Linked DNA regions of Xenopus tropicalis. The protein of the gene in region 3 interacts with the protein of the main gene of each other region in a biochemical or structural test. Links are inferred from orthologs where the notes say so. Each region holds a gene or a part of one and is shown on either strand. Other genes may lie near its edges. The genes, in order: mapk1, map2k4, map3k1 and ikbkb.

What was found.
Region 1: of the proteins of map3k1 (region 3) and mapk1, one has a biochemical effect on the other in vitro, tested with the Homo sapiens proteins (3 studies listed by BioGRID). The link is inferred for Xenopus tropicalis from reciprocal best matches to the Homo sapiens genes MAP3K1 and MAPK1.
Region 2: of the proteins of map3k1 (region 3) and map2k4, one has a biochemical effect on the other in vitro, tested with the Homo sapiens proteins (7 studies listed by BioGRID and IntAct, with this or other methods). The link is inferred for Xenopus tropicalis from reciprocal best matches to the Homo sapiens genes MAP3K1 and MAP2K4.
Region 4: of the proteins of map3k1 (region 3) and ikbkb, one has a biochemical effect on the other in vitro, tested with the Homo sapiens proteins (3 studies listed by BioGRID and IntAct). The link is inferred for Xenopus tropicalis from reciprocal best matches to the Homo sapiens genes MAP3K1 and IKBKB.

Annotation. Positions count from the first base shown.
Region 1 is NC_030677.2:154,008,463-154,016,850, forward strand, and holds the start of mapk1 (mitogen-activated protein kinase 1), read left to right. Parts: upstream 1-4,111; 5' UTR 4,112-4,172; coding exon 4,173-4,300; intron 4,301-8,388. UniProt on the Homo sapiens protein: Serine/threonine kinase which acts as an essential component of the MAP kinase signal transduction pathway. MAPK1/ERK2 and MAPK3/ERK1 are the 2 MAPKs which play an important role in the MAPK/ERK cascade.
Region 2 is NC_030686.2:46,929,977-46,938,031, forward strand, and holds the start of map2k4 (dual specificity mitogen-activated protein kinase kinase 4), read left to right. Parts: upstream 1-3,800; 5' UTR 3,801-3,820; coding exon 3,821-3,827; intron 3,828-8,055. UniProt on the Homo sapiens protein: Dual specificity protein kinase which acts as an essential component of the MAP kinase signal transduction pathway. Essential component of the stress-activated protein kinase/c-Jun N-terminal kinase (SAP/JNK) signaling pathway.
Region 3 is NC_030677.2:190,956,210-190,964,577, reverse strand, and holds the start of map3k1 (mitogen-activated protein kinase kinase kinase 1), read left to right. Parts: upstream 1-2,806; 5' UTR 2,807-3,085; coding exon 3,086-3,390; intron 3,391-5,109; exon of another isoform or gene 5,110-5,124; coding exon of another isoform or gene 5,125-5,144; intron 5,145-8,368. UniProt on the Homo sapiens protein: Component of a protein kinase signal transduction cascade. Activates the ERK and JNK kinase pathways by phosphorylation of MAP2K1 and MAP2K4. May phosphorylate the MAPK8/JNK1 kinase.
Region 4 is NC_030679.2:130,599,400-130,606,992, forward strand, and holds part of ikbkb (inhibitor of nuclear factor kappa-B kinase subunit beta), read left to right. Parts: intron 1-75; coding exon 76-164; intron 165-1,255; coding exon 1,256-1,345; intron 1,346-2,739; coding exon 2,740-2,864; intron 2,865-3,606; coding exon 3,607-3,714; intron 3,715-4,617; coding exon 4,618-4,747; intron 4,748-5,707; coding exon 5,708-5,902; intron 5,903-6,399; coding exon 6,400-6,514; intron 6,515-6,691; coding exon 6,692-6,815; intron 6,816-6,924; coding exon 6,925-7,076; intron 7,077-7,593.

The DNA.
Region 1 (8,388 bases), about 37 Mb from region 3:
AGTTTGGGTATAAAAAGTTAGATAATGTCTGTGCTGCAATGCAGAGGAATAATTGATTCTCTTAGTACCCAGGTACAATATTTAATGTACCTGGGTGCCAGTGTATGCATATCTTATATCTTCTAAAGTGCTACTTAGAATACATTAATACAAACAGGGGGTTATTAAGATAATAGATATATACAAAGTATTACAATAAACACAAATAAATAAAAGATATAGTTGCAATAAACTATATCTGTAATGTATTTGTATATAATGAGTATAATGTATTTTAATAATGTAATAAATAATGTAATAAAGTATGTCTTTTATATGAATATACTTGTGCAAGCCCTCAGTATGGGTATTTCCTTGTCCTTGATCTTTAGTGTAATTGTCTCACTTCACCTTCTGGCCCTGCCTCTCTGACACTGATTGCCAACCACAAGCATGAGCAGGACCAGAGTAGCTTTAACTGCACTTGCTCCTATTGGATGACCATTGCCAGGGAGCCATGGAAAACATGAATTGGCCAGACATTGCACACTGCACTACTCTACCTTTACTGACCAGCTACGGGGAAGTTTAGCCGTACTTGGGAATGTAGATGCTCCAGTTTGGCAGAGGATTCTAAGTTAATGGCACCAAGGCTGTAGAATGCAGAACTCCTATAATAAAATTATGATTAAAGTTATATTATAATTATTTTTTTTAATATTTTTAGGCAGCATGGGTTAGCAGTAGGACTAGCACCTTTTAAAAAAAAAAAAAAAAAAATACCAGCCTTTCATATTTTTATGTTTCTTTCATATTAATAACACTGCCATCAAGCACTATTTTTACAAAAGTGGCAACCCTAGTAAGCAAAAGTGTCCAGATTTCTCCAATAATATATATATAACCTCTAACCACCTGCCAATGAGCGATACCTGGAGCAATTCACTGCAAGTCTGCCAACAGCCCTGTGTGAGCACATTACTTTCTTAAATGGTAGGTAAGCAAATTTCACACAGCAGATTACAGATAAGCCTCAGGTGCCAACAACGTAGATTGTATTTTATCTTAAACTTGTGACCAGTAGGTTAGAGCAGCCCAGCTAGGGTTGTCACATTTGCTGGGCTTTAAGGGCTCTGGTACACGGGGAGATTAGTCGCCCGCGGCAAAACTCCCTGCTCGCGGGCGACTAATCTCCCCGAGTTGCCTTCCCTCTGCCATCCCACCGGCGAACATGTAAGTCGCCGGCGGGATGGCAGACGCGGCGGCGCGATTTCGCGCAAATCGCCGAAAAAGACTCGCGAGGCTTTTTCGGCGATTTCCCGAAATCGCCTCGCCGCGTCTGCCATCCCGCCGGCGACTTACATGTTCGCCGGTGGGATGGCAGAGGGAAGGCAACTCGGGGAGATTAGTCGCCCGCGAGCAGGGAGTTTTGCCGCGGGCGACTAATCTCCCCGTGTACCAGAGCCCTAAACCTAGGCAAAGGTGCGGTGGACCTCTAACATCAGGAGGCTTGTGTGCTGACGTTGCCAGCATAAGCAATGATGTTGATTATGGAATAATGATGCTAAAAAGGACACAGCTATTTCCCGAAGTCGCCTCTCAAGGAAACTTTGGGCAACTTCAGGAAATCGTAGCGTCATCGCAGCATGCCAACCCACAGGCGATTTACATTGTTCCCGGTGGGATGGCATTGCAGTAACGAAGATTTGTTGCGGGGCGACTAATCTCCCCATGTGCTACTGCCCTTAGTTATGATGGGTCCAAGTGCTCATGCCCCAGACCTTCAGCTTAGGGAGCCATTAGAAAATTCACATTAGAAATGCAGGCAGGCACTCTGGATCACCAAAAAAACGTTTTAAGGCAGCTCAATTCAGAGTAAAAACATTCTTAGTTTATTATGTCCATACAGAATGCCAAGAATGTTTTAACTCTGAATTGAGCTGCCTTGAAACGTTTTATTTGGTGATCCAGAGTGCCTGCCTGCATTTCTAATGTAAACTGAATTCAGTTATGAAATAATGATGTCAGAGGCAGTATTCTGGCCAGTGTAATGACAGGGGTGGCATTATTACCTTAGAAACAATCTGGTGGATTTCCATGCTCATCGGATGTATGGCAACCCTACGCCCAGCATGGTCTACAATAAATTCATCAGTTCACCCTTCTGGGTTCTTCCCTTTATTCAGGTTTACATTATGGCTTGGCAAATACATCTTGTTTTTTGAATCAGTGTTGGACTGGAGTGCCAAAGACCAGAAAACCTTAGCAAGCAGGTCCTTTCATATTATCATCATTTGTCCTTCCCTCATTTCTTCTCTTTGTTCTCATTTAGAAATAGGAAATCCCATGGCCTGTGTCCCACATTAGGGTTGCCACATTAACAGGAAAAAAATACCACTCTTCCTATATAGTTTTCTTTTTTCGTTGTTAATAACATTGGGATTAAGCATCATTTTTACTGACCAGGCTGGTAAGATACCAGCAATATGGCATCCCTAGCCCACAGGGAGTTTTCAAAGCTGTCACCTTAGGCTGATGCCACACGTGGCGTTTTTAGGCTGCATATTTTCTCAGCCTAAAAATGCTGCACAAGCCACACAGCCCCTGACTATGGCGTTTTTCAGCCTAGTACTGGTGACGTAGCAAATCCCGTTTCCTTGGTGCTAATAGTGCGAAATAGTAAAAAATGCTGCGTATTTCCGCTAGGTCTGGCAGCTGCCTTTGTGTATACATAGGAATAGCTTGCTTTGCAAATACTGGCGTATTTCGGCCAACACTTGAAAAATCCGTGCTAAGGCGTTTTCAAGCGTATTTACGCTTTGTGTGGTTTGCTTCACGTCTTTTCAAGTTATTTCTATGGATGATGATATCGGGCGTTTTTCAGCCGCTGAGAAAATTAGAAAATACGCAGCGCAAAAACGCCTCGTGTGGCATCAGCCTTACTACTGGCATGGCCAGGGGACTCTATGGCACACGCATTGTGTGGCGTGGCCAAATGTGGATTCCCAGTGACATCACTGCGCATGCACTGACATTACTGGGTGCTTAATCTGCATGTACAAGCAGAAAGCTCACTACACATGCACATTTTTTTTTTAAATGGGTGATTACCACAGGTTTCCAGGAGGATATGGGGTACAAGTTCCTGAATCAGGTAACACTGGGGAAAACTTGGAGAGTTCACAGCTTTGTTTCCCTGATATCCTGGTTGACCAGTCTGACACTGCTTTAGATTATAAAATGTTTTTCTGTAACTAAGAGCGTTTTTTAAGGTAACTAGAGATGGCTAGACATGGAAGACCCTGATAATTTTGCTAAACGTACTAGATCCCATGTCAGTAAACTCTGGGCACTCCTGAAATATGCTATGTACCTATGTAAACAACGGTTTCAGTATACACAGGCGCCAGGTAACATTGGCAGCTCCTTACAGGCCAATAGGATAAAAAAAATATTTTATTGTATGAAGCAGGACTGTTTCCATGGGGTTTTATACTGTTTTGCTGTACAGTATGTACAATAACGTAACCCCACATTCTGTAATTACCAATTACAAGAACGCAACTATTACTGAAAAATATTGCAGATCATTTCCCATGGCAGCAAAGACGCGTCCAATCAACACCAGAGAAGACGCTACAGCCGCCGTACTGCGATCGATGCGTTCAGTCTAGGCAGGAAGCGCTTGGCGAGAGACGTCAAAAGACCTCTAATTCTGCTGTCAGGATCCGTATTGAAGTTTTATTTTCTAGCTTCTGCCGGACTACACTTCCCAGCAGCCTCCAGTATAATCGATCATTTTCTAAAGCGGGAATAAATCAGTAACCGGGAAGCCGTAAATCAAACACACCCTGTGAAAACAGAGAGTTTAGCAAAGAAAAAAAAAAAAAAAGCAGAGCCGTACGAGTCCACGCCCACTGCAGCAAAGCGTGAGGGGAGTTGCGCCTTTCCAAGGCCCTGCCCGTAGTTCCGCCCCACACACACCCAGCGGGCGGGAAGGCGTTAGCTCGGCAGCGCCTCACACAGCGTACGACTGAGCCAGTGCAGCGAGCCTGGGGCGCCGCCTCGTCATCCGCTCTGTCGCTCCCCACCAGAGAGGCAGCCACACCCACGGAGGCGCAGACGGACCGAGCCGTGTAATACCCACAGCAGCTCCGGAGAAACTCTCCCCGACGCATTAAATCAAGCAAAACATGGCAGCGGCAGGGGCCTCGTCTAACCCCGGCGGGGGGCCGGAGATGGTGCGAGGGCAGGCGTTCGACGTAGGCCCGCGATATACCAACCTGTCATATATCGGGGAGGGAGCGTACGGCATGGTTTGGTAAGTGCATGGGGTACGGGCGGATCTCCTTCTAATCCTAGTCATGGCCTTTTCCTTCTTCAGGCCTGTGCGTGTTGGGATCTGTCCCGGCCCTCTCCAGCTTGTGCAGCCACCTCCCCACGCACTGCCACTGCTCCACTAGGGACTGCGTGCTCTCGGCTCCCGGCTGCCAGCTCCGGCCTTTCTGCCGCTTCAACTCGGCATTTGTTCGCTAATATTTCTTTCCCATTATTTAGTGTTGGGAATTGTGTTGCACCTGCACCCAGCAATCCCGTCATAGCCAGCAATCATTTTGCATGCAGCACTGGTGCACATTAGGGTATTGCTTTCCCCCAAATGCAGATTTGTGCTTCCTTTCCCTGTAGTTGGATTATTGCGCCTTCCAGGCTTTCTTTGCTGTGTTGGTAACCTTTGTAAAGCTGAATTAGAGAATCATCCCCGCAATGTACCCTTAAACCCACCCATACAGCCTGTTACAGTTTTAGTTAATGAAATAGGAATGTATAATGTTTGACCCATCAGGGCTTGATGAACTAATTACTCCTGCATCCACTGACAGCCAGGGCTTTGGGAATTGTTCTTGGAGAACAGATGGAGGCCATGTTGTACTTGCATTTAATACTGTATGCGTGCAAGATATTTAAGATACAATGCTGTGGGCGTATTTATAACTTGTTATGAGTTAGAGGTTTGCACCATTGCAGTTAGTCCTGTTTGAAATATGCTCAAAAGTTAAGTTCAAGAAGTAAGGTTAAAAAGGCAATTTGACATTTGTATATTGTTGTATTTTATCAGTATTGTTGTATTTTATCAGTTATTTATGTTTGTTTCCTTTTTCCCAGTGTCGTGCAGGTTCTTACATTATCCCCATCCCATATATATGCTGTAGCACCAGAGTGTAGGACAAATGCGCTCACAGCCCTAAACAGCACATAGTTTAGTTTACTACTGTCTCATTGGTCTGCTAGTCTATAAACTTAGAACTGTGTTCATTGTAACTTTATGGACTTTTTATAAGTACAGTAAAAGTGGGAGTATTGTTTTTTTTTTTTTTGTAAACCAAGATAGACATCCATATCCTGTGCGACACAAGCCAAAGGTGACTTTTATATTAACTTCTCATTTTCAGTTTAATAACCAGTGTTTAGCTATACCTAGGGCCAACCTACATTCCGTGTGGGAACAGTTTTTCTAAATGGCATTGCGTAATCTCCTCAGATCACAGCACTTTTCAGTATAAATCTGCTAAAATGATGGTTCCATTGTGTTGTGTGGGAAGGCATTGGCCGACTCTAAAGTGACAAGTGCCAGCCCTCCTCCACAGTGATTCTTTTAATTCAGTTTTTCATATCAGAGCCTAAATGCACAGAGATATGCAGTTTGGACATAAGCAGGACACTGTGCCTCAGTCCAGCTAGAAATATAGATTAGAATGTGTGTCCTTGGTACATGGGTGACATCAATTTTATTGTAGATATAATTTGCTGTATTAATATTATCAGGTTTCATTATGTTTTAGGAGCTTGAACAGGCCCAAATATCTCCAAGGTTTAAAATCTTACATTTTCAGGCATGCAGTACAAGAGATTAAAGGGGTACACTGGCAGATTTAAGCTGCCAAGGTGGGCAGGTTTGACCTTAGGGCCTGATAATTGAATTAGCCCTATATTGCCCACCTAAGGTGGGCAAATCGGGGGAAGATCCGCTCGTTCAGCGACCTCACCAAATGGGCGGATCTCTACATGCCTAGCCACCTTAACATAGGGTTGCACACCACTTTTACTTGATTGTTACTGCTTGTATAGTTGTTGATCAATGAATTATTAAAGGGTGCACATATTGTCAAGAACAGACTTTTGCTGTTCCACTATGTAAGAAATGAACCTTTTAAAATTTGTCTTTCTCACTGCTAAAGTATTCCCAAAAACCTTACAAGCATGACCCAGGTGTTCACTTCTGGCTGGCTGCTTCCTCTGGTTGTGCAGGAGAGCCAGAAATACTCAGCACTTTGCATTGTAGAGTGCCAGCCAATCCCAGTCTAGTGGTCTTCAGTTATCCGCTCCCCTAGCTGTAGGCACAGGGTGGTAAACTTGAGCCTCTCTTCCTCTGTGGTGAGTTGTTGGACCTATTTTAGAATCTTGCTATTTGTCCAGTGGACCTGACTGGGAACTGCATATTACCTTTCCCTGTGTTAAGAGAAGAGATAGGATTGGCTACCCACATCCACACGGGGAAGTGAATTAGAACAGCTTTACGCTAAAATTTTCTGACTAACCAACTTGTATCCATGACTTATAGCTATGGCTTGTAATTGATGGGCCGCTATATGCATACCATTAATTGTAAGATATTATTGATATGCTTTTTGCCAGATTTATCCAGTTACTGAATTTTTTAATAAAAGGAAGCTGATGGTGCCATCATGGCAGATTTGCTTCTGTTCTGGCTCACTGACTTCAATTCCAAACATAGGTATAACAGCCTAATAGGCTCTGCCCATTGGACTCTATAATGCAGAGACACAATCATATACCGTAATGCAGAAAAGCAGCAGATCTGCCAAGATGGCTGTGACAAAAATAAGGCTATTTGCCAAGGGGCCTCTCTTGTCAACACCGGGAAAATTTGTACCGGTGCAGTAATCCAAACTTGAAGCGTATGTACACCCATACCTTCCCGTGGACAGTTAGGCTTAGTGCTCAATGATAGAGGCATTGGCACCCTCGCAATTCAGCCATAAGAAAATTTACTGGCACACAGAACTTATCCAAGCAGGGTGAACAGTTTTTAATGCAGAAGTGCATCATTTTGGGGCCATGCCCCTTTGTCAAGCAAATGGCAATTTTCCTCCATCTATAGGTAGAACAATTGAAGCCAATATGTTATTGGTAGCCATTGGTTAATACCAAGGTGCACATTCGCCCAGGTCCTACCTTTCACTGCAAAGTGCTAACTTGGGTCACCAGGGGTACCTTACAAAAGGTTCGCTACATTACAGCCTTTCCTTGTCCTTTAAGTAATAGTGAACTACACAAAACTAAATTATTTTGCAAAAAATATGTAAATTGCCATAACCTGACATGGTAGTATCTCTAATGTTAAGCATGAAAGGTTTATGGCCAGTGCCACACGTGACATATTTTGGGCCTGTAGAGAACCATAAGTCATGAATATGCTCCTAATAGCTAATTGCGTCAGCCCAAGTGCAGGCGCACACAGCTGATTTCAGTGCCAAAATGCATACTTATGCAGTTCCACTATTTTGTATATTTTATAGCCCTTTAAAGGACCGTGTATGAATATGTATATCTTAAGGGCACTGGTACACTGTAATGTGATAAAACACCTGGAATTTTTGCTAGTGCAAAATGTAATACAGTGGGTCCACACCCACTGGTGATCATCATTATATCTATGCAGACCGCTTAGAAGAAAACCCCATCAGCATACTGCCCCAGCCAAGCAGAATCTTCTGCCTGATCTTTTTATTGGATATGACTGTGGGAAAGCCCTATGAATTGTCTAAAATGCCTCCACACACAGTGTGCAGCTTTTAAAGTTTTTACCTTCATATGGCCAGCTTAAGGGCCAGGGCACACTAAGCAGATCCACTCCATTTTCCCTCAATTAAGACTTGAAAAAAAATATATATATATATTCAGTTGTCTTTTGTCCTTAGTTGCCCTTTAAAATTTTGTGTATTATGTTAAGCCCTAGACTGATTAGTTTCCAAAATTGGAACCACACCTATAACTGAGAAATAATTGTCAAGTACAGATACAAACATGTATGTGTACAGCATACCAAAAAAAAAAAACATGAAAAGTTAAAAAAAACAAAAAAAAACTCACACAGCCTTCCATGTAAGTACACTCACAAATATCATAGCTACAGTGGGAATTTTTTCTTCTCTTAATAGTAAAGCTGGCCATACATGCACCAATATTATTGTGCGAAACAAGGTTTTGGTGATATTCGGTGCGTGTATGGTGGATCGACAAGACAGCCATTATCTGAAAAGTTTCTTATACCAGTCATCTTGTTGATCTGGCGGGACAAAAGATTTTGATGTTGTTGAGCAAAATCTG
Region 2 (8,055 bases), on a different chromosome or scaffold from region 3:
TAAAGGCCCCCATACACGGGCCGATAATAGCTGCCGATATTCGTCCCTTGGACCGACTCGGCAGCTTATCTCCCCGTGTAGGGGCAGAAACGAGCAGACTGGCCGACCGATATTTGGCCTGAAATTGGGCAGATATCGATCGGCCAGGTTAAAAGATTCAGTCGGTTCGGGGGCCGCATCGGCTCGTTGATGCGGTCCCAGAACCGACTGATACATTGCCGCCTATATAATCCGGATTTCTTTTTTTTTTAACTTCGAGCTCCCCGATATCACCGACCCGTAGGTGGGGATATCGGAGGAAGATCCGCTCGCTTGGCGATCTTGCAAAATGAGCGGATCTTACCGTGTATGGGGACCTTAACTTGTCTTTGTACAAGTTTTGGCCTGAAAGGGATGCCGTAGTGAGGCATTGGTGTGGCTTTAATAACTGGCATCTCCTCTTCCTGCCAGGAACAGAAATGCACAAAGTCAGTACAGACACCAGGCTTTCCGTCTCCCCCCCCCCATACCCACAGATGCCAGTCCCAGCAATAGCACCCCCAGTACAGAGCTGTAGGCTCCCCTAATAGTGGCCAATGGGGCCCAGTGTCCCGGCTCCTCACCTTCTCTTCCTGCGCTGGAAGGCGCACTCTGTTCTTCAGAGCAAAAGCAGGAGAATGAGGCACCATCACTGGGAGAAGTGGGGTCTTTGGGTTTCTTAGTTTGGGTCGGACCATCTTCACTGGGGTGGGGCCTATGAGGGAAGGACAACAGTCAGTATGTACGTTATACAGGGATTACTACAATACCCACACCCTTGATGTGCCACATACCCTCCAGCTCCCTCTGGCGGCTGCGCAGGTGGTACCGTGCTGGAGTTTTCTTAGAGAAGGAAATAACCTGCTCGGCGGTGCAGACATACTCCGAAGCCTCCTCGTGCTTGCGCTTGTCTGTTCCTCAGATCAGTCAGCTGAGGAAGGGGCTGGTGAGTGGCTGTACATGCACCATGGAGGGGTAACCAGGGGGTGAGGGTGCCTGTTGCCCGTTTATGCCCTGGATCATACAGTCTATTGCACAAACCATATCCAGTACATAATGGCGGGTATGCAGGGGTGTGTCTGGGCAATGAGGGGGCAGAGTATGTCAATTCTAAATATTGGATGCCTATATTGGAGGGGGTCTGTTTTTAGGTCTCCCTGTATGTAAATATGTAAGCTTTATATTTTAAAAAATAAATAATATGTAATAAACTCTAAGTTGTCATTTGTCTAATTGATTCTGGCTCCTCCCATCAGCCAATAGGGCATGTAGCCAGGGGGCTTGTGTGTCCCACTGCAGCAGGAAACTCAGCCATTTGCACCACTGTGGTCTTGGGCCGATGGGCGGAGTTGCACCCAGTAAGTCGGTGCAGCGTGGGGTTCTACTTTGGCTCTATTTGCGTAATGGTCTTCTAACGGCCAATGGGATTAGTGCTATGTGCCTGGTAGCTCTAATTGCCTCAGTGGAACATTGCAATGCCCTGACTCATTCATTGGCTGTAAGCATCACGCACACTCTCTTAAAGGAGCCGCTCTTTGCCAACTGCCCATTGGAAATAGGGGCCCCATGGGGCAGTTCTTAAGATGAAATATCCCCTTACTGCAAGTGCCCCCAGATCATGTAATTGCTGGAGTATATATCTGTATCAGTATGAGACACCCCCATACCCTGCACCCAAATAGAACAATCATCAGTTCACAAAACGTTGCACCATTTCTCTTTAGGCCGGTCACTTTAGCCGAGCAGCCTATGGCTTCCTTTATATCTGTTCCCCTCTCCAATCAACTTTTTAAAAACTTTTTATATTTTTTCATTAGTTCAGTAACTGTTGGTCCATAAATACTTGTCACATGGTATGTGGGGGTAACCGGAAAGGAAAAACAGTAGAACAAAATGGCGCTCTAACCCACTTTGGGTGCTTACATATTGCTGAAGGAGGAGATATTAAAGCCATTGAGTGACCCCATATTGTACCCTATGATAGCCCGAGGTGAGGGGGCCCTACCCATAGACTTGTGCCCGAGAGAGATGCTCTCTGGTTAGTACCCAGGTGCCCCATATCTCCAGATAGAATTCTATCTTGTTATCCAGTTGGTATTTGAGGACTTTGTTGCCAATCAACGTTTTAATGAAAGTAGTTGTTCTTCAGAGCCCCATAACCCGCCGGCACAGCTCTTGCTGTAAATAGGGGCCAGAATTGATGCCTGTTTTCCCCCCACAGAATGAATGACCCCGCTAACTGAACCCCAAAACACTTTCTCCAGATTCACAAACAGAAATCCGCCTAAATTCCGACTCAACCACCACTTTTCTGTTTTTGGTGAAAGAAAGACAGTTTACAGACACTTTTGTGAATTTGTCGTTTAAACGACATTTATACAACGTTTTGACGACATTTTTCCCGACATTTTTCCTCGACATTTTCAAAATGGAGTAAAGCTCAGTGTAACTCTGTCAGACCAATTCTAAGCTCTTCTATTTTGTTTGGTTTCCCCCAGTCTCCATCTCACAGCTCTGGTAGGAGCCCCATTGTGGGATCAGTAACATATTAATGGGGATTAGCAGCCTATTGTTAGGGGGCAAGTTTCTGTCTCACCCTAGAACAATAGGGGCAAAAAGCCTCATTAACATTTTATAAACAAGTAAACCACTGATTAAAAAAAGTTGAATTTATATCTTATATATAAAAAGTTTTTACCTCACATTTGCATGATTATGGGAGTTTCAGCTTAATCAATGAGGCAATAATAACATTTTGTGTGAATATATTGTATACATTTTTATTTAAAGGAAAAGTAAAGCCTCCCAGGCAAATGTTTAGTTTTAGCAGCAGTGCCTCCTCTTTAATCACTTCACTGACATTTGCCCCAACTTATCTGTGCCCCCATAGCATGCCCAGAACTACAGAGCTGCCTGACAGCATTGGCCCCCACCTGTTCCCAGCCGCCATCTTGGTGGCACATACACACTGGCCCCCAAACTGGGATATTGGGGTGCAGGGCTGGACTGGCCCAACAGGGCGCTGGATAGATACCCAGTGGGCCCTAGTCCTGTTGGGCCCCTATTCAGTGGCCATGTTGGTGTGGGGCCGGATTGCTGCTGCCCAGTTATGAGTAGGGGCTAGAGAAGACGGTATTTAGACCCTTAAATCTTGTTACAAAAGGGGAATTACACAGACATATAGAAACCATTAGAAAGCCCAGCTTGGCCTGAAATAAATGCTGTATAGTTTCCCTGGGCAAACTGAAATTACCCCTCAGGAAATGCCCCAAAGTGAAATGGCAAAGCCTGCGGGTAAAAGGCTCCTGTCGCTGTGGGACTGGGTTTGATGGCACAGACAGATTTACTAACAGCTAAAGGCAAATTCATTAAAAAAATGTCGGGAAAATGACAAAATCTGAAAACTGTCTGTTTAAAAGACATTCACAAAAATGGAGATTCACTTTTGTGAATTCCCCGCTAGGTGGCGCTGCACAGGAGTAGCCGGACACACAGCAGAGCAATAGTCCCAGCACTACTAGACTTTCTCCACAAGAGGCCCCGCCTATGCTCCCAGCGTCATGCCGATCGTTGCATAGGAGGCGGGGTGGTGGAGACGTCATTTGGAGGCGGGGCTGTGACGCCAGCGCGGGGGATTGTGGGAAGGGGGCAGGCTCAGTGGGGGTTGCTGCATTGCAGCCTTCATTTGGTAGCGAATATATTAACAATGGCGACTTCCAACCCCAGTAACAGCGGCAGCAGCGGTACCAGTGCGGGCCTCGGGCTCCAAGGGCAGTCTCAGCAACACAGCACCGTCAACAGCATGCAGGGTAAGCGGCCCCCCAGCCCCAGCCCTCTGTATCTCTCATTGTCTCCCAGCACCCCCAGCCTGTCTCCCACTGTCACCCAGCACCCCCAGCCTGTCTCCCACTGTCACCCAGCACCCCCAGCCTGTCTCCCACTGTCACCCAGCACCCCCAGCCTGTCTCCCACTGTCACCCAGCACCCCCAGCCTGTCCTCTCCTCTGTCTCCCACTGTCACCCAGCACCCCCAGCCTGTCTCCCACTGTCTCCCACTGTCACCCAGCACCCCAGCCTGTCTCCCACTGTCACCCACTGTCTCCCAGCACCCCCAGCCTGTCTCCCACTGTCTCCCACTGTCACCCAGCACCCCCAGCCTGTCTCCCACTGTCAACGGCCCAGGCTGGGGGTGCTTCGAAGAACCAGTGGGTACGGATTGGAGACAGGCAGCAACCACCCCATTGCCTGTGGCGTCCCAGCTGTCAGCCGGTGCTTGGGTGCGACGTTGGGTTGCAGTGGAGGCCTGGGGGTGCTTGAGGTGGCGTGGTCAGTGGGAGACAGGCTGGCAAGGCGTGTGGCTCCTCGGGGAAAGCCAGCATGGGCTGACAAGTTCGGGAGACCCAGAGCGCTCTGTCTGCGTGCTCGCGTGACAGTGGAGACAGGCCCTACGTGGGCTGGGGGTGCTCGGCGTGGTGACAGTTTGGGAGAGCAGTGGCTGCACACGACACTGTCACCACGCACCCAGCCCTGTCTCCACTGTCACCACTGGGGCAGCACATCCTCAGCGTGTCTCGCCTGTCACCCACTCTCCGGCACCCCAGCTGTCTCCAATGCCCACTGTTTCCCACTGTCACCCAGCACCCGCCGCCTGTCTCCACTGTCACCCACTGTCACCCCAAGCACCCCCAGACCTGATCTCCCAACTGTCCACCCACTGTGGCGCCGTCAGCTAGAGCGGCGCGCAGAGACCTCGTCATTGCTCTCGACTCGTGTACTCCCCACTGATGCACGGGAGACAGCTGGTGCTGGGTTGCAGTGGGCGACAGGCCTCGGGGGTGCTGGGTTGAAGTGGGCAGACCAGTGGGGAGACCCAGCAACCACCCAAGACCTGTGCTCGCACTGTCCACCCAGCACCCCCAGCCTGTCTCCCACTGTCCCGGCACTGTCACCCCACGCACCCCAGCCGGGTGCGCGTCTAGCCTGGGTTGGACCACGTCTGGTGTCTACCCACTGTCACCGCAGCACGAGCCCCCAGCCCTGTCTTCGCGCGACTGTCTGACACTGTCTCGGTCGCAGCGTCACCCAGCACCTGGCAGCACAAATAGAAGAAGATACAGAGGACTAGAGCTTTAGGGCCGCCCTTATCCCTGCATGCTGGTTATGACGCAGTGCGTTTTGCGAGAACCTGCACCTTGGCAGAAACACGAAGGCCACGCAAACTGTGACCGACCTGCTGACCAGCCATGTATACTGGGGTTGAAGTCCGACCAATTGTTAATAATATTCAACTACCAAAAATGAAAGCGCTGACATATGCAGAAACGCACCCACTGAGACCAAGCACCACACTTCCCACAATCCCACCGCGCTGGGCGTCACAGCCCCCGCCTCCAATGAACGAATCGCTCCACACCCCGCCTCCTATGCAACGAATCGGCATAGAACGTTTGGGAGCATAGGCGGGGCCTCTTGTGGAAGAGCTCTCAGTTAAGTGCTGGGACTAATTGCTCCCTGCTGTGTTGTCCGGCTAAGCTCCTGAGCACGCCAACCTAGCGGGGAATTCACAAAAGTGAAATCATCCATTTATTGTGAATGTTTTTAAACAGACAGTTTCAGAATTTTGATCATTTTCCGACCCATTTATTATAATGAATTTGAGCCCTTTAAGCTGGTTAGTAAAGTTGTCTGTGCCATCATAACACCGAGTCCACATAGCGACAGGACCTTTTTACCCGCAGGGTTTAGCCAATTTCACTTTTCGGGGGCATTTCCTGAGGGGTAAATTTCAGTTTCCCAGGGAATACTAATACAGCATTTATTTCAGGCCAAGACTGGCTTTTCTAATGGGTTTCTATAATGTTGTGTATTCCACCCTCCTGTAACAAGATATTAAGGGTCTAAATACGTCTATCTCTAGTCCCCACTACCACAATAACTGGGCAGCAGCAATCACGGCCCACACACCTAACATAGGCCCACTTGAAACCTCCAAGGCCTGTGCTCGCACTGTCCCCAACTACCCACATAGTCATACCGGGCAGCACCCGACAGCCTGCGCCTCGGTTGTCTCTTACTGTCTCCCACTGATCACCGCAGCAGAACCTGTGGGCCAGTCCAGCGCAGCATCAGCTGCACCCTCATCACTCTGATCCCTCCCACTGATCATGTTCCGGGGCCCAGCTAGTGATACTGGCTCTCGCGCACCTCTATCACTCGCCACTAGATGTCGCGGCTGGGAATCCCACGCGATGCGACCCGCCGACCTCAGACCTCCCTACTCTCGCGGTTCTCGCACCAGCCCCTCTCGTAGTATGCCCTGGGAATCATCGCTCTCATCAGCGGCTCTACCCACCAGCGGGACCATTTAAATATGCCCATTGCCTGCGCCTCGCAATACCTGCATGTGCACTGCCTCGACTGTACAATCATATCGAGCAGGCACCTGCGCTCAGGCCTGATAACCTAACTAAACATTTCGCGCCCTTGGAGTGCTACTTTACTCTTTTACCTTTGTACACATCACAAAATGTAGTACACAGCAATTATCTCAACCTCCACACCACATAGATCTCTTGTACTTCATTGCTCATTGATTAAGCTTGAACTCGCCTAATCATCGCAAATGTAGGTAAAAACTCATCTTGTTTATATACTACACAGCATACTGACCCAACAGCTCTCGATCATCTTTTTCCTCTTAATCTCCAGCGCACTGGTCTCACCAAGTCATCCCAGCCTGATCTACCCACTAGCTCTCCCTACTGTCTATTTCTCTCAGCATTCACTCACGACATAGTCGCTGTCTACCTCGACGTCGTCCGAGCTTTCTTGCAGCCTACTCCCTAGCGCTGTCTCTCCACTTGTCACTAGCGTGACAGACTGCGAGTACATCCCAAGCACCTAACTCGCCACGCCTGTACTACCAACTGTATGGTCCTGACATCTAGATCACCCATTAAAATGTTACTGATCGCAACAATGGGGCTCCCAGCACGTCAATCGCCAGCCCAGTGTCATGGCCCCTACTGTCGACGGTGGAGACTGGGCACTGTAATCACCCCACAAACAGACAAGAAAGACAGAAGCCCCTTCCAGCACACTTTTGGTCTCCCAGGCTGTCCTGACACAGGCAGGTTCTATTTCTGAGCATCTGTAGCCTCCTAGACTCCACCCAATTTTTTTGAAATGTCGAGGGAAACACAATGCGAACCGTGTGGATACACCAACATGTCGCCTTTCCAAACTGTACCACCACCGCTTTGTAATAATGATTGCCGTACCTTAACACCGGACCAGAACTCTGTTCACTCCACTACCATAAATGTCTGTTAACCTAGTCCTTCTCTTTCAAACCACAGAGCACCCCAGAAAAGTGCGTGCGGCCAGTCTGACTGTTCCCGGTAATCTTGCCACGGTCACTCCACTGTCTCATCTTCTGGTTCCTGTGCATCTAGCAGCACCCAGCACTGTCTCCCAACTGTCTCCCACAAGTCACACGTTTCATGCAACCTGCCCAGCGGCTGCGCTCTCCCTAGTTATCTCGTGCTCGCCACTGTCTTAATGTTCCCCCAGCACCCGCCAGTCCTTGTCTCGGCCACTGTCTGCGCCACTGTCTCCCACGGTCTCGCGCACTGTCTCACACTGTCAACAACCAGGCCATGTCTATATCACCCAGCACCCAGCCAGCTGTTCAATTCCCATGTTCTCCCACCAGTAAGCACGGCTGTGCCGGCCGGGGTCAGCTATCCCCAGACTCGTGGGCCTTCTCCTCCTTGTCTCCCACTGATAGCGAAACCCAACTACAGCTACCCCACTCCTGCCGCTCTCCATCTTGAATCTACAACACTGTCACCTGCACAGCATCTCGCCCAGCTGTCCTCGCACTGTCTCCCCAAGCCACACCCACCTGCCCCTCTCCGGTACTGTCTCGCACCACACCCCAGGCCTGTCTCCCACTTGTCTCCCCAATACCACACAATGACGGACCCCATGCGCCTGCAATCCATCACCGTATCATGTCTCGGGCCAATTTCCTGA
Region 3 (8,368 bases):
AGCAGGTGTATTCTTTTATCACTATGTTATTGAATGCTCAAATACTGTGTAAATGAATTTACTGACAAATGGTAGCTTGCTTAGCATGGCCATTACAACACCATACATATATAATATGAAAAATATTATAGGCCTATACAGGCAATCTGTGGATTTTTGGCAAATGCCAGAGCGGCTGCTGTAAGATACCATAGACAGTCACTATTTATTGGGCTGGTGGAGACTGTTTGGGGCTCTGGGTACTGGAAATGCCAGAGCCTATTTTGAACCTTAGTCCCAGAGCCAGCATATTATTATTATTTATCATAGCACCACTATGTCACATCATGCTCAGTTCCATTTGTCGGAGCTAGGTGGGTTATTTACAGAGAAGCTGCCTGAAGTGATTCCCAAAGACAACAATGTAAAAGTTATTTCCAGGCAGGAAGCACTATCTTTTGTGGTCTCTGTTGAAACAGGAAACACTGTAGCTGCAGGCAAAAGGGTCTCCTGACCAAAAACACACAATGCCCATCCCTTTGGCCCCAGGGATTTACTTGTGATTGTCTGTGGTTGTAGCCTGTCTGAGAGAAAGAGTGAGTATAAAGGCAGGACTACACTGGGGGTTTTTTTTATCAGATTTTGTAAGGCAGACTTTATCTGACCCACAGGATCTTGTCAAGTTCACAGCACAAGATGCTACAAAATCTGATGCTCCATGTTGTAATGTAAAATATGATCAGATGGCTTCTTGTTTTTTAATACATCTACATCCAACAATCAATGTATTTTCAATGATAAAAAAATCTTTTAGACTGAATCAGATTTTATTTTGTCAGAGAAAAATGTACCATGCAGCATTCCCTTCTGACAGTCATGTTGTATCCAATGGCAAATATTTCATTATGTTTACTGGCCAGATTGAGTTACTGACCATTATTTTTAAACATATGCAACTACAGTATAAAATGTAATCTGTCAATCCAACCACATCCAACAAAATTTCCCATGCAGTTCTGTGTCCCTGAAGTGTTGGAGTAAAGGGGACCATACTCGGGCCAGTTTCAGCTGCCGATATCAGTCCTATAGACTGATTCAGCAGCTTACCTGCCCATGTATGGGCACCACTGACGGGCCTCCAAACCGACATCTGGCATATCGGGAGAAGATCCGCTCACTTGGCAATCTCTTCAAATGAACAGATCTTACAGTGTATGCCCTTCTTAAGGGTTTTACCATATACAAAAATCCAAAAAGTAGGAAAAAAGCTTCAGCAGATTTACTGCAAACCATTTATTGTGGGTAAACACTACTCAACAAATGGTTTGCAGTAAATCTGCTGAAGCTTTTTTCCTACTTTTTGGATTTTTGCAGTTGAATTTGGTTGCAGCACAGAGCAACAACTAGGAGCTAAAGCTTTTTTCGTAAGTACTTTATACAAAGTTCACCAATATTTTTTTATTTTTGAGGGTTTTACCATATGTTTGTATGTCAGTCTGTATGTTTAGGTACTGTTTAGTATGTGTATAAGTATGTATCTATGTGCATTTGGGTGTCATTTGTTTCTACAATATAAATACTGACAACAGTTAGCTAAAACAGTGAAGACCCATAAATACATATAAACATGCCAGTTTTGACCTAATGCAATATTTTGGGATAGTCAAAAACTGATCTTACTTGCTGAATGTGTATGATCAGGCGAATTTGGCCACAGCACATACATTACTTGGGGTCACCAGTTCCCTGGATGCTGTAACCCAAGATTCTGATGAACAGATCTGAAGGCAATCTAACAATTACATCATAATAAATTCCCTGGTTCACAGTTTTCTTTGTTACTCAGTATATGAAATTTCTGAGTAAGTTAATGTAACAAGGTTTTTTTAAACAGAAAAAAGCAGGTTGATTTATAGTAATAGCAAGATGTCTCAAACATAATTGCCTATAAGGGTCATCTTATGGGGGTAAAAGGTATGTATTAAACAAAATCATTGATGTATATAGTGTACCTAGTTTCGTACTTTATATGCTTTCTCTTTTAATCCAGTAACTTTGAAGCCAGAAAGTTTTCCATATATAGCTTACCTTGCCTTCTGATAACCTAAAAGGGCCCATACAGTAATAAAGGGGTCCCCCCCCAAAAAAGTCACACTGCCATAGCCAGCACCCTCATACTAGGGTAGAAGAGCTGCATAGGCCTAAAACCTATTCAACAATATGATGATAGCTCAGATATTAACTGAATGATCACTGAAATGTAATTACTAGCTACAAAGTCTACAGCTACAGTCCCTAGTTTTTTAATCTACAAATATTCCTGATTCCTAGAACAGCATAGAAGCATAAAGATGATCATAAAGGCCACTAGACAGAGGGAAAAAAAATGGACCCTGCAAGTGAAAGTTGGGGCCCCAATAATCAGGGCTGGGCCATAACTTAAACATCCATAACATGGCTATCAGGCAGCAGAGATTACTCACTGTGCTAAATATGTCATTTTCACTTTATTACCTGTGGCATTTTATAGCCAAGGATTATAATCTGAAGCCCAGAGCAAATGAAGTGCCCTAGAAGCTGAGGTACTGAGCCAACACCTCTGCCCCACACTGCTGCCGTGCCCCGCACTTAGCTGTCAGGTACGGTTTTCAAACTCCGTGCCCTCCCCTCACATCCGCCTTGTGTGGGAGTCGAGAGCATCACAGGTCACGCCCACTTCCAACTACGCGCCCCACACGTAAACTGCGTAAGACCGACCGATACTGTACCTTTTACCTCGGTTCTTACTCCTACTACGTAAAGCCGCACTTGTCCACGGCATTGCTAGCAACACGCGGTGGAGAAAAAGTTATGGTAATCTGTAAACGGCTGTGGCGAGATAAAATGTAATTTCTATTGACAGGCGGCGACGCCTTATGCCACAAAGAATTTTGAAACGTATACTTGGTAAGCTATATATTAGTTTGTGGCTACGCTGTTTGCGTACCTGTCCGATACTAGCGCTTCAGGTTACGCAGATTCCGTACTTGGCTAACTACGCCCAGGACATGTTGAACACGCCCCTCGGCTGGGTTGTCGCTACGGATGTAAACCTGGCCCGAGGAAGATGGCGGCCGCGGCGGGGAGTCGGAGCGTGTCGTCTGGATTAACGGCAGCCGCGGGCGGCGTAGCGGGCTCCGGTAGCCCGGAGACAGGGGGGCAAAGACTTCCAGAAGGGGCTCCGGGGGAGGCAGGGGGCGAGCAGCGAGCCGACTGGAGGCGCAAGCAGCTGCGCAAAGTTCGGAGTGTGGAAGTGGATAAGCTGGCGGGGAGAGAGCCGGAACCTCCGCACGTATTGGCTGCCGGAGTGAGGGAACAGGAGCCTGCTGCGGGGAGCGAACCCGAGGAGCCTTCGGCGGCACACAGCTCATGGTGAGAGGGGAATACCTGGGCATAGTGTCCCATGCTTGGGCAGGAGTGTGCCACCTGTGCCACTTACAGCACCGTACTGCCCATCTACTACCTCTTTAGCTGCTACTGAACTACAACTTCCAGCCTGCCCTGAACATTCCTATAGGCATTAAACTTAGTGCTTGGCAAGTGTACGGTTGCCACCTGTGCCACTTGCTTACCTGCAGCCTTAGTACCTGCAGGGCTCTCCTGTCCTTACCAAATTGTTAAATTATAACCCTCAACATATCCTGAACGTTGTACTGGGCAGTAGCGTTTGGGGGTTTTGTGTTTCAGACACCCTGGAAGCTGTTATGGTCTGGTAGGGATTGTAGTTGAACTACATCAGGAGTGTTTCATGTTAGACTCTGTTGTGCTTATAGCCTGACAAGGGGCTACTTAGAGGGTAACGTATAGTGGGCATTTGCCCTGGGCTGCCAGTATCACAGGAGCACTGTAGTGGGAAAATGTTTAATAATAGATATATTACTGTGTTCCTAAGGGATGCCCATCCTGCACCCTCAGCTCTTGTTGAACTGCAAGTACTTGACATCCCTCTGACATCTAGAGGAAGAGCAGTACCACAATAGTGTTTCGTGCCAATAACGAATGCATAGGTGTGCAGCTTGCCAGCCTACCAATCATCATTCTGTGTGACGGGCATGGTGTGTTCTGCTGCTGTCAGTTGCTTGAAATGAAACGTTTCCTCTGAGATTGCTGGAACTGCTTCTTTACCGCTGAATTGGTGTGTTGGCATGCACTCGTCATACATTCTTTTTTGGTGCCTTTATTGGTAGCTGCCAGTATCCGCTTTAGTGGCACAAGAACAGTAAGTAGAGCATGATTGTCTTCCGGGAGAGTGGCCACACATCTCTTATACGATGGGGCTAAATAGGGAAAAATAGTCTGTTATCTAAGCTGTTTGAGATTGCTGGGAGTTGTAGTTCCAAAAACAGTTGGGTTTTGGCAGGCTGGACGTCTGCGTTGATGCTTTGGCATTGTCTTTTAGCCTAATTGGCTTGTAATTGGTCATGCTGTTGTGGTGATCCCTCATGATCTGATGTAGAACTGGACAAAGTGCTTGTTTCCTGTTTCTTTTGCTTTGAGACATTCAGAAATCGCAATCTTGTGCCTGTGCTTCTAGCTGCCTCCGAGTAGCGTGCAGTTACACTTTATGGATGTAATTCCATTAATATGTGCGTATTTGGGTATAGCACCTTTTGTCTGCCAAAGGAACTAGTGTTGTAGCACTCTGGGCCATTTTGACATCTGATTTTGCTCCTTTCTAGATATGCATGTTCTGTATGTATAAATAGATTCCTGTGTTCCGGCACATGAAGCTTAATTCTGCAGCATTTCCTATAATAAGTCTTAGTGAAAGACAGAAATGTTGGTCGATTTAGCTTGTGCATGCAGTGCTATACGGTATGGCAGTCTGGTACAATTGGAGTTAATGGGCAGTAGTGTTTCTTTTCCCCTCTTTATTTGCAATTACGCTGGGCAAACCTAGGGGTCATGCAGAATCTCTCCCTTCCTGTCAGCTGCTTTCTCTCCCTTCTCCCATCTCCATTTGTAGCACACAATGCCTGCTCTGTTCCCCCTGTGTTTCCCAGCCTGGGTTACCTGTCACTTTGGTAGGATGTGGGAGCCCCCATGTGAAATTACTGGAAGTTAGCCTTTGTAGAAGTGGTTTTGCCTCTGGCAACCCTACTATTTATGGAAATCAATCTTTGTAGGTAAGTGTAGATTATCCTGTAATGAGTGAAGTCCATAATCCTCCCTTGTGCTGCAAAGTCATATGATTTCTGTAAGGCAATATTAACTTCTGCTGGCTCTGTGTTCTGCTAGGTAACTGGTTCTGCTGGGTATGCAGGTTTTTATATGATATACTAGATGCTACAGCCATATATTGCCTTTGATATATATATATATATATATATATATATATATATATATATATCTGAAAGGCAATGTTATATATATATATATATTAAAAATGTGTTTTATTTCTGTGCAGAATAAAATATCTAAACTGGTGGCTGGTAGTAAGTAATACATGGTAAAGTACAATTTGCTTTCCTCATTTCAGTTTAGGAAGTTACATTGTTGTTTGCCTTTAAATCATTTTCTCTGCTCACAGTTGAGTTCTGGATAAATATTCAAGTTACGACAAGTAAATAAGTGTATGTTTCAGTAAAGGACAGCTGCAATTTGGAAACTATAGAAAAGCTTATAAAATTATGTTGAGCCCATTGTTTGTTAGATTAGAAATGGTTATATATCCAGTAACTAAGATAAGGCGCTCAGCTATACCTAGTGCTTTTTGTAGCATCAGGTGCTTATACTTGAAAATAAATTTCTTTTGAGAAATGGTTTATATGTGTTGTCATTGTTAGTACATAGGTAAATGTTGGTTAGACCGTTTTCACCCATATCACGCATGGCTATGTGGATTGAACGGTCAGGAATGCACTGTAGGGCAGCTACATTTAGTAAAAAAATAGAAGGTGGTTTTGCTGTAATATATTTTATTAGGGCACTGCAATTCTTACACTAGTTGTTCTATATAACCTGCTATTTTGTGGATTGCAGGCACATTTAGTAGTTACTGAAGGTTGTTAAAGGGGTGGTTCACCTTTAAATTAACTTTTTTAATATGTTATAGAATGTTCTATTCGTAGCAACTTTGCAATTGATCTTCATTGTTTATTTGTTATAGTTTAATTATTCACCTTCCACCTCTACATATTTCCAGCTTTCTAATGGGGGTCACTGACCCCGGCAGCCAAAACACTATTGCTCTGTGATCTTACAATTTTATTAGTATTCTTACTTTATATTACTTATCTTTCTACTCAGTCCATTTACTATTCATATCCCTGTCTCTTATTCAACCTACTACCTGGTTAATAAGGTAAAGAAGACCCTAGCAACCAGATATCTGCTAAAAAAACACAGGAGAGCTGCTGAGCAAAAAGCTAAATAACCGAAAAAGCATAAAAAACAAAACACAGTTGCAAATTGTCTCAGAATATCAATGTTGGTCATACTAGAAGTTAATTTAAAGGGGAACAACCACTTTAAGGTAGCATGTATAAGCTGACCTGTACCCTACTGACAGTCCGGCTTGTTGGCAGAATGGACAGATAATATAAAATGACCTTTTTTTTGTGTTACGTTGATTTGGCCAATTACTGAACTATTGAAACAACAGGAAATGAAGAGGATCTGTGGCTTCCCCTCACTTCCTTTCAGCTAAGCAATATACATTTTCCATCAGAACAGATGATGCTCAATCCTACAGTATTGCAGCAATATCTCTAAAAACAACAACCCCCTCAATTTGCCCAGTTTGGGTAATAAGGTAGAAATCAGCCAAACTACACTACCATATCTGGACATGTATAGCCAGTCCAAACTGGAGACGACAAGTCTGTGGTTCAGGTGACAGTATCTGAGCGCTCTGACATTCTCACCCCCACCCTATCACCAGGATGTATATCAGAGGGCACACCCATTCAGTAGCCTGAAAATGTTTTATTTTCAGCTGCTATTGATTCAAAGTGACTTTGAAGAGGGAGAAAAAACATTGCAGACAATAAAGCTGTTTATATGACTCCAACAGCAACCTGAAATCATTATTATTGACCTCTAGGATTTCACAAAATAATTGCTGTTTCCACGTTTTCAAATCCCTCAAGTTCAGTTGTATTTGCATTGTTGCTTGGGCCTTGTTCACATGCTTACTCTTTTGTTACTTAAAAAGCAGGAAGTTGGCCTTAAAATGTTTACAACATTATTTAAAACCCCACCGTGCAATCGGTTTAAAGATCTTTAAGTTATCAATGGATAAGGTGAATACACCTGAGGATAATGCAGTATTAATGTAACTATAAAGTCAATTTTAGTGGTATTGTAGTAAAGCATTACTACTTCTCGCAACCAGCAGCCCTGTGGCTATTGGCTTATAACCATTTGTTCTAAAAGGACCTCCTTTGAAGTCATTTAGGCTGAAGACATACGGGGGTGATTAGTTGCTGTGACTTTTCTGAAAAGTCTCTGTGACAATTTGTGCAACGAATATGGTCGCGCGAATTGTCGCATTGATGCTCATGCTCCTCTATAAGAAAAGTCGCTGCAATTTGTCCCAGCGATTTGCTTGGCTAAAAGTCACAGCGACTAATCGCTCCGTGTGTCTTCGCCCTTTGGGTAAAGACACACAGAGCTACTAGTAGCAGCTACTTTTTTATGGCTACTAAACACCAGAAAATACCCTGCCATAGACAATACTGAGAATTTTTTTTTTCACAGGATTAGTCTAATTTCATAGTTAATTTGCCAGTGCCTTATTAGTGTAAAGCATCTCAGACAGCTTAGAAATGTCAAATTGAGCATTTGTGTGGTGCCCACCTGTCACTGTGACCACAGAAAATAGGCTGTTGTGTTGGATAACTATAACGGTGTTTTGACTGCCGCAGTTCTCCACCAGAGCCCTGTGATGTTTGAAACTCCCCATTGGCCATAGCTCTTACAATGACAATATAACATTTAGGGATGCACAGAATAATCTATTTTTTTAATCTGAATTCTGATTTGCATATACAAATAAGGTCAAGTAAGGCTGATGCCACACGTGGCGTAGGGCTGATTTTTTCGGCAAGCGTTTTTCCGCCCTACGCCTGCTACTTGTGCCTGCACCCGAATGAATGGGATACGCTCGGGTGCAGGCACATGTAGCCGATATACGCATGAAAACGCGAGAGAATGCAAAGTCTCGCGTGTGGCATTAGCCTTAAGGATCTGAAAAAAAGCAATCGCGCAGTGTGTGACAAAAATTTGCACGTTTTAAGGGTTTGGGTTAGGTTTAGCCAGGTGATTGGATTCGCTGTAATCCAAATTCTGCTGAAAAAGGCTTAGATTCAGTGCATCCCTACTTGCTTTTCCATGAATAACTTGTGTG
Region 4 (7,593 bases), on a different chromosome or scaffold from region 3:
GCTAAGATATACAACAGGGGATTTAGAGGGCCCTGTTTGCCAGGTTTAAAGGTTTCATCCTTCTCTAATTCTCAGCCTCTGCCCTTCGATACCTCCATGAGAACAGGATAATCCACAGAGATCTGAAGCCAGAGAACATTGTTCTGCAGCCAGGACCCCAGAGAGTAAGTGTCACCTTTTAAATGTACTCTGTATATATAATTGCTGCTAATATACTGCTCAAAAAGGGATATAATTACAGTTAATGTACAACAAAGTAATGCATGTGTTTCTAGTGTCGGCTCAACAGAGCAGATCTGCCTGAATAGTCATTAAAAATGTTATAGAAGCTAAAGAATAAAAATACAGCAAAAGTGAATTCAGTACACATTGGTCTCTTAATGGCTCCGTTACTCAAAGGCAAACAAACGTTTTTTTTTAAACTGTCAGATTCACTTATTTTTATCTTATTTCATTAATGCAGTGATCCCCAACCAGTGGCTCGTGAGCAACATGGTGCTCCCCAACCCCTTGGATGTTGCTCCCAGTGGCCTCAAAGCCGCTGCTTATTTTTGAATTTCTGGTTAGGAGGCAAGTTTTGGTTGCATAAAAACCCAGTGTAATTGCCAAACAGAGCCTCCTGTAGGCTGCCAGTCCACAGGGGGCTATCAAATAGCCATTTATAGCTCTTATTTGCACCCCTAGGAACATTTTTCATGCTTGTGTTACTCCCCTACACTTTTTTAATTTGAATGTGGCTCACAGGTATAAATGGTTGGGGATCCCTGCCTTAATAGAAAGTTTTTTTTTTCAGACACTTAACAAAGGTACTTTAGCTGCTAAACTTTATTCACTTTGCTGACGAATGAGGGATGAATATAGGAGGATGATTACACTACACAGATTATATTTGATGTACAGGCACTGTGTTAGCATTCCCCCCTTACACCACACACACCCTGTTTAAAGAGATGGCATCATAAAATCAGCCTTTTCTGCTTGCACTGAACAAAAAGCATATTTCCTGCGAATGACAATGCTAGCATCTGTTTCCTTCTAGTTCTTAGTAGCTCATTTCCACTCATAAGGGTGATCAGTCTGTGGGTCACTGCTGTTTGTCCAACTGTGAATGGCTAGATCAGACAGTATCCAATCACTTAAATGGTACATAATAGAACCAGAACACAGGAGTCAGTGTTAGTTCTAAGAGTAATACATTAGCACTAAGTATATGGCTCTTTAACCTGCAATGGTTGTGCTTTCCTCTCTCTTTCAGCTGATCCATAAAATTATTGATTTGGGATATGCCAAGGAGCTTGATCAGGGGAGTCTATGCACATCCTTTGTGGGTACCCTGCAGTATTTGGTAAGCACCTTGTATATATTCTGCTTCACCCTCTTGTGGTTTGGAAGCCCAACAGCTTGAAGCTCCCCGAGAGCTGGATTGGGCAGTCTTCATCATTCCAGGTGACATATAACTACAACTCCCAATATTAACTCACCTACTGCAGAAAGGGAGAGAATTCTGCAACATCAAACATTGGCGATTCCTGCCCCAGATGTGCCTTTATTTTTAATGTTATTGTCCGCCACCCTTTTTCTTGCCTCCTTTTTCCAGCCCACCCCATCACTCAAATATCTTCTGCTCTTTTCTGCCCTGTTATCCACCTACTCTTTTATCCGTATCATTATCAGCTTTCCATAATGTGAAGGTAGTCATACATGCAGAGATATTAATGTATGGCCAACAAAACCTTTGTTATATAGATCAATAATTATTAATATGAAGGCTGCTTTCTTGGAAATATAATGCTTGAAAGCAAGAACAGTTGGTCGGGGACCAATCAGGCACACCATTCACCACCATTTTCATCACACTGACTGTACATGAACAGAAAATATAATTTGTTTGAAGCTACAATTTTTGAAAAACCTATATTTTGAAAAACAATATCCATGGTACAAGGATGTCTGTCCCAAATCACACAAAACTGTATCTAACAACAATTTCTGTATGTGCATGGCCTGCTTAAAGGGATTCTGTTATGGGAAAACCATGTTTTTTATCAAAACACATCAGTTAATAGAGCTTGAAATCCATTTTTCTAAAGAGCAAACACATTTTTTATGTTTGATTTTGAAATGTCACATGGGGCTAGCCATATTCTTCATTTCTCAGGGTGCCACAGCCATGTGACCTGTGCTCTGATAAACTTCAGCCATACTTAACTGCTGAGCTGCATGTTGCGTGATATCCCCCCCCCCCCCCCCCCCGCAATCGATTAGCAGCACAATGGGAAGGGAGCAAGACAACTGCTAAAAAATGCTCCCGCCTAGTGGTAGATATCAGAATAGCACTCAATAGTAAAAATCCAAGTCTGGATCATGATTCCTCCAGTCACATGGGAGTTGGGAAAAATAATTGCTTATCCGAAAGCAGTTCTAATGTGTAGCGCTGGCATCTCTGAAAGCTCAGACTCAGGCACAGTGCATTGAGATGCTGCCTACACACCAACATTACAGCTAAAAAAAAAAAAATATATTTATTGGTTCAAAAATACATTTTTAAATGGTAGAGTGAATGTGAACAGTGTAATATAGTAATAAAAACTAAACCAGAAAAATCATGATGGAATCCCTTTGTTTTTTGTACGTCCTTCCTGTGCTACTCACCAATATGTTGTGCCAGTTTCCTTCCATTTCATTTTTTCTTATTGCTGATACCCTTATCCTTATGTTCTGTGCTTTGCCTTTACACAGGCCCCAGAATTACTAGAGCAGAAGAAGTACACAGTGACTGTTGATTACTGGAGTTTTGGGACACTAGCCTTTGAATGTATAACAGGATTCCGACCTTTCCTTCCCAACTGGCAACCTGTTCAGTGGTGAGACACTTAACCTAACTTAACCTTACCCAGTACTGCCATCTAGTGGCCAAACACTGCAGGTACCCCAAAACAGCTTTAGTGACCCCCTTACACTTTATGTGGTTGGGAAAAATTAAACTGCTCTAGAGTGATAGTCAGCAGTCCTATTAAGCGATGCTGCTTACCTTAAATCATAGTTTTATTTTCTAATTCTGTTTAGTATTATTCTGATCACATTTTTACTTTTTCGATACAACTATGGGGTCTGTTATTCAGAAACTCATTCTCCAGAAAGCTCCAAAAATACAGCAATGCCATTTCTTGTAGAGTCCTATCTTGGCAAACAATTCTTGTAATTTGACTGATTTCCATTATATCTGTAATTTCAAAACAGTACATTGTACTTGATGGTAACTAAACTGGATGTTAGTGGCAAAATAATCCCATTTGTATTTATGTATAACTTTATTTATAAAGCACTACAAGGATACGCAGCGCAGTACAATCTTACAATATACACAATTACACACCGGGAGGACAAGTGTTATAAATTGTACAACAAATAAGTATAAATACACAGAGACAAAGTGCCGTGTGGTGTTAGACACAGTAGGAAAGATGTCCCTGCCCCATAGAGCTTACAATTTAAGCTTACAATCTATTTAATCCTGTTTAAATGATTCAAGTAGCTTTAAGGCACGGTAATCCAAATTACAGTATTTCCAAGTAATAGTGACCTGTATGTTCCTTTGGACTCTAGGCATGGAAAAGTGCGAGAGAAAAGCAATGAGCACATTGTGGTATACGAGGACCTGATGGGAGCAGTAAAGTTCTCCAGTGTCTTACCAACACCCAATCATCTGAACAGGTACGATGTCCTTGCCTCCAGGGTTGATCACATACACACAGTATTGAGGCACTTCTACCTAAATACTGCCATTGCCTGTACACTTTATGTTTTTTTTTCTTCTCTTTTGCTCCCTTTAAGTTATGTTAAAAACAAACAATCAGAAAATATGATGTTTTGTAACTATTTTAGATATTACATAAGCCTTCTTTTAATACATGTAAAAGCAAAAGAGAACAGGAAAGTGCAAAGATGGAGAGAGAGAGGGCAGAGGGGAACCAATCCAACCTTTTATCTTGTTCAGAGTATGTAAAAACATAAACCATGGCAAATGTTGAGCCATGTTGTCAGCAGTATTCAGTTTATACCTGTGTCACGGTGCCATGTATTGCTACTGTAGGGTGCCAATTGTCTACCACTTTCTTTTGATCATGTCTAGATAAATCAGTCTCATTTGGTTTCATACTGAACAGGTACCAAAATTCTCATTGGATGTTTATAGTTTAGCTTAGTTTTGTTCTAGTCTTAAAGTGCCCAGTTGAGCCAGCCCATTGGCTTGTGTTAGAGCCCAAAACAATACCCATACATACTGTTTGATACATAAATGTGGGCAGATATCATTTTGACACAGTTGAATATTCTGTGGACAACATCCATGGCAATGAGGCTCTTGGTTGCAAGATGACTGTAGTTTGCCTAATCAATACCTTAATGAGTCTGAGTGACTCACCGTGTGATATGATCATTGGCTTGATTGGGTGTCAAAAATACTGGTTTTCAATTTAGCTCTATGATGAATCCCAGAGCCTTACAACTGTCAGACCATATTAGTCCATGTTTCAAGTTTGTGGCAGGCTGTCTAGCTCAAGATGTTCGCTACTTGCACATGCAATAAATTGGAATTAAATATTTCTTTTGTTTTAGCAAGCTGGCTGGCAAGTTGGAACACTGGCTACAATGCATGCTAATGTGGCACCAGAGACAGAGAGGCACAGATCCACAGAACCCTAATGTTGGTTGTTTCCAGGCCTTGGATTCCATCCTAAGCCTTAAGGTAAGTGTCGGTATGAAGCTTTGGGTGTACAAGCAACATTTACAGTAAAGAACACAACACAGAATCTGTAATTTTTTGGTGGGAAATCAATATGTCTGCTGTCATGTCCTTTCTTCTGTTTCTTGTTTTCTGTTTTAGCCTTGTCATTCTATATATGGTTTTATTTTTTATCATTCTCTACTTTCATATATCAGTTAAAGATAAGGGTGTACTTTCTCTGAATACATTCCAGAGACACAGGAATCACCCCTGGGGTAAAGGCATCACTTCACAGGACTAGTAGTGGTTAGGTCCAGCTTCTATCTTCATAGCCTTTACACCTCCCAAGCAGTCTTTCCAGTGTCAATTACATACAGTGGGTAGGCCAAGGTCTAAATGAATACAATTAAGTTACTCTGTCCCCTGCAAGTTCCCAATGTGTGAAGGATCCACCAGATGTCTGGTAAATTAAATGGCATTGATATAAACCACATAAAGATGTTGCACACTAAAAAGAGCCATACAAAGGTGGTATTGCAGTTGAAAAGCTTTATATAAAATTATTGTATAACAATAATTCAACATTCATAAGATATGTACACAATATCAAAACAAAAATCAAACCTATACGTACCACCCAGCAATAAACAGCAAAAAAGGTGAAGGCAGATACTCTGGATGAGAGAACTGCCCCAAAGTTTCAAGAAAAGCACCAGAACCAACAGGATAGACCTGCATATATGTTTATACAACACCCTCTCTTAAGATATAAGGACCACAGACCATGTAAGGTGGTTTCTAATGTTCCTAAATGTTGAAGCAGGGGATTGCTTATTTTTTAATACACGTTTCAATGGGCTATGGGTGATTTATATATGATAACCTCACTAAGCACTACTTATAAGGATATATATCACAGGTTTTTATAAACATATATGTTATTGCTGATATATTGATGTACATGTGTATATATCCCCCCAGCTGTTGTCTGTACTGAACATGGTGTCTGGCAAGGTGCACACTTACCCGGTGTCAGAGAATGAAAACCTGCAGAATCTGAAGAGTCGCCTGGAGCAAGACACAGGGATTCCTGAGGAAGAGCAGGAACTATTGCAGGCATCAGGATTGGCCCTTAATCCTGCCCAGCCTCTAACCCAGTTTGTGGTAGACTGCACGGTAAGAGTCTTCTCATGCTCACCGCAAAATGACATTATGAAAGCACAAATATGGCAAAAAAAATGTTTTGTGTCATGTGACACAAGGCTAGTGTGGTTCAACTTAAAATGCAACTTTAAATTATATTTCTGTAAGCAGCCTTTCTTTGCAGGTCACAGTATCTGGTGGAACTGTTAATGAAAGGAAAACCATTGTCTTTTTGACTTCAGAGAGTGACCATATAGGCATATGTTTCACTGCTTAATTACAGCTCTTAAGTGCAATATACAGATTCAAATATTCATATTACTTTCAGTACAGCAAGTGTAGTAAAACCCTCAACTGTTCTAGTTCATTCCACCTGCAGTTGTTCTTGCATTCTAGATCTGACCTTGCCATATAAGATGCTGGCTGCTGGTGGGAGTTGTAACTGCTTGAGGGTCATAGGCCAATATCTTTGTTGTCTATAAACTGGAATTATTTTAATCAATAAGTGTCTTATTTGCTTTTGTCTACAGGTCAATGATGGGCGCCAGGGCGAGGGTGATCTGATATTTCTATTTGATAACCGGAAGACTGTATATGAGCCCCAGATATCACTGCCGGCACATCCCGAGAGTGTCACCGTTATATGTGAGTGCCACTGATATTTGGCTTGTAATGGCAAGGGATATACATGTATATGTATATTCCTCTTGCCTGAGGACTCAGACGTTTGCCTATGCCTTCAGGGTTTATACATCTGTCTAATCCTGAGGTTTGTGGTTTGTTGATGGTGATGTGACACTGTGGCACTTAATTCTATTCCAGTGCAGGATCCCAAGCGGCCCCTCACTTACACCCACCTTCGCCGCGTGTGGGGGCAGACCTGGCAGACAATACGAGCGATGAAAGAGGATTGTGCCCGTCTGCTTCATGGGCAGCGTACCTTTATGTGAGTATGAGAGCTCTGCGTGTGGGTGGGACAGACAGTATGTGTGGCAGATGTGTGTTTCTCCATGTATTATGCATAAGTGCTGAGGGCATATCTCTATGTTATGTAGGGTAAACCTGCTGCGATACAATACTGAACTTTCCAAAAAGAAGAACCTCATGACTTCTGAGTTTGAGCAGCTAAAGGCCAAACTGGATTTCTTCCGGAACAGTATCCAGATTGATCTAGAAAAATACAGTGAACAGATGGAGTTTGGAATCAGTAAGTTACTGGCTGGGCCCTCTGTCGACTTTTATTGCTTAGTAAAGAGAACTATAGTGATTTATTGACTTTGCTGTAACCTCTGACACACTGTTATTATGCACAGCTTTTTTTTTTTTTCTTTAGACAACCACTAAACAGCATTCATAGTCATCATAAATGGCTTTCTGTATTAACAGCAAGCAGTATGGGAGCTTCCAGTCTTCTGTATAAATACAGTTTTACACAGAGGAATGATCTGTGCATATCAAACTATGGCCTCTTAGTTTACAGCATTAAGATAAAATTAAAGCTCTGCTTAGGATACGGAAGGTACCCGTTCTGTTATATGCAGATTTAAAGGAGAACTAAACCCTAAAAATGAATATGTCTAGAAATGCCAGTTTTTATATATTGAACTTGTGAAATGTGAACAGGGCAAAATCTGCACCATGCAGTGTTACTATTGTGAAATAGCATATTCATAAAAGAGCAAATTTCTCTTTATTACTGTTGCTTTTAGCCATACAGTCTGCAG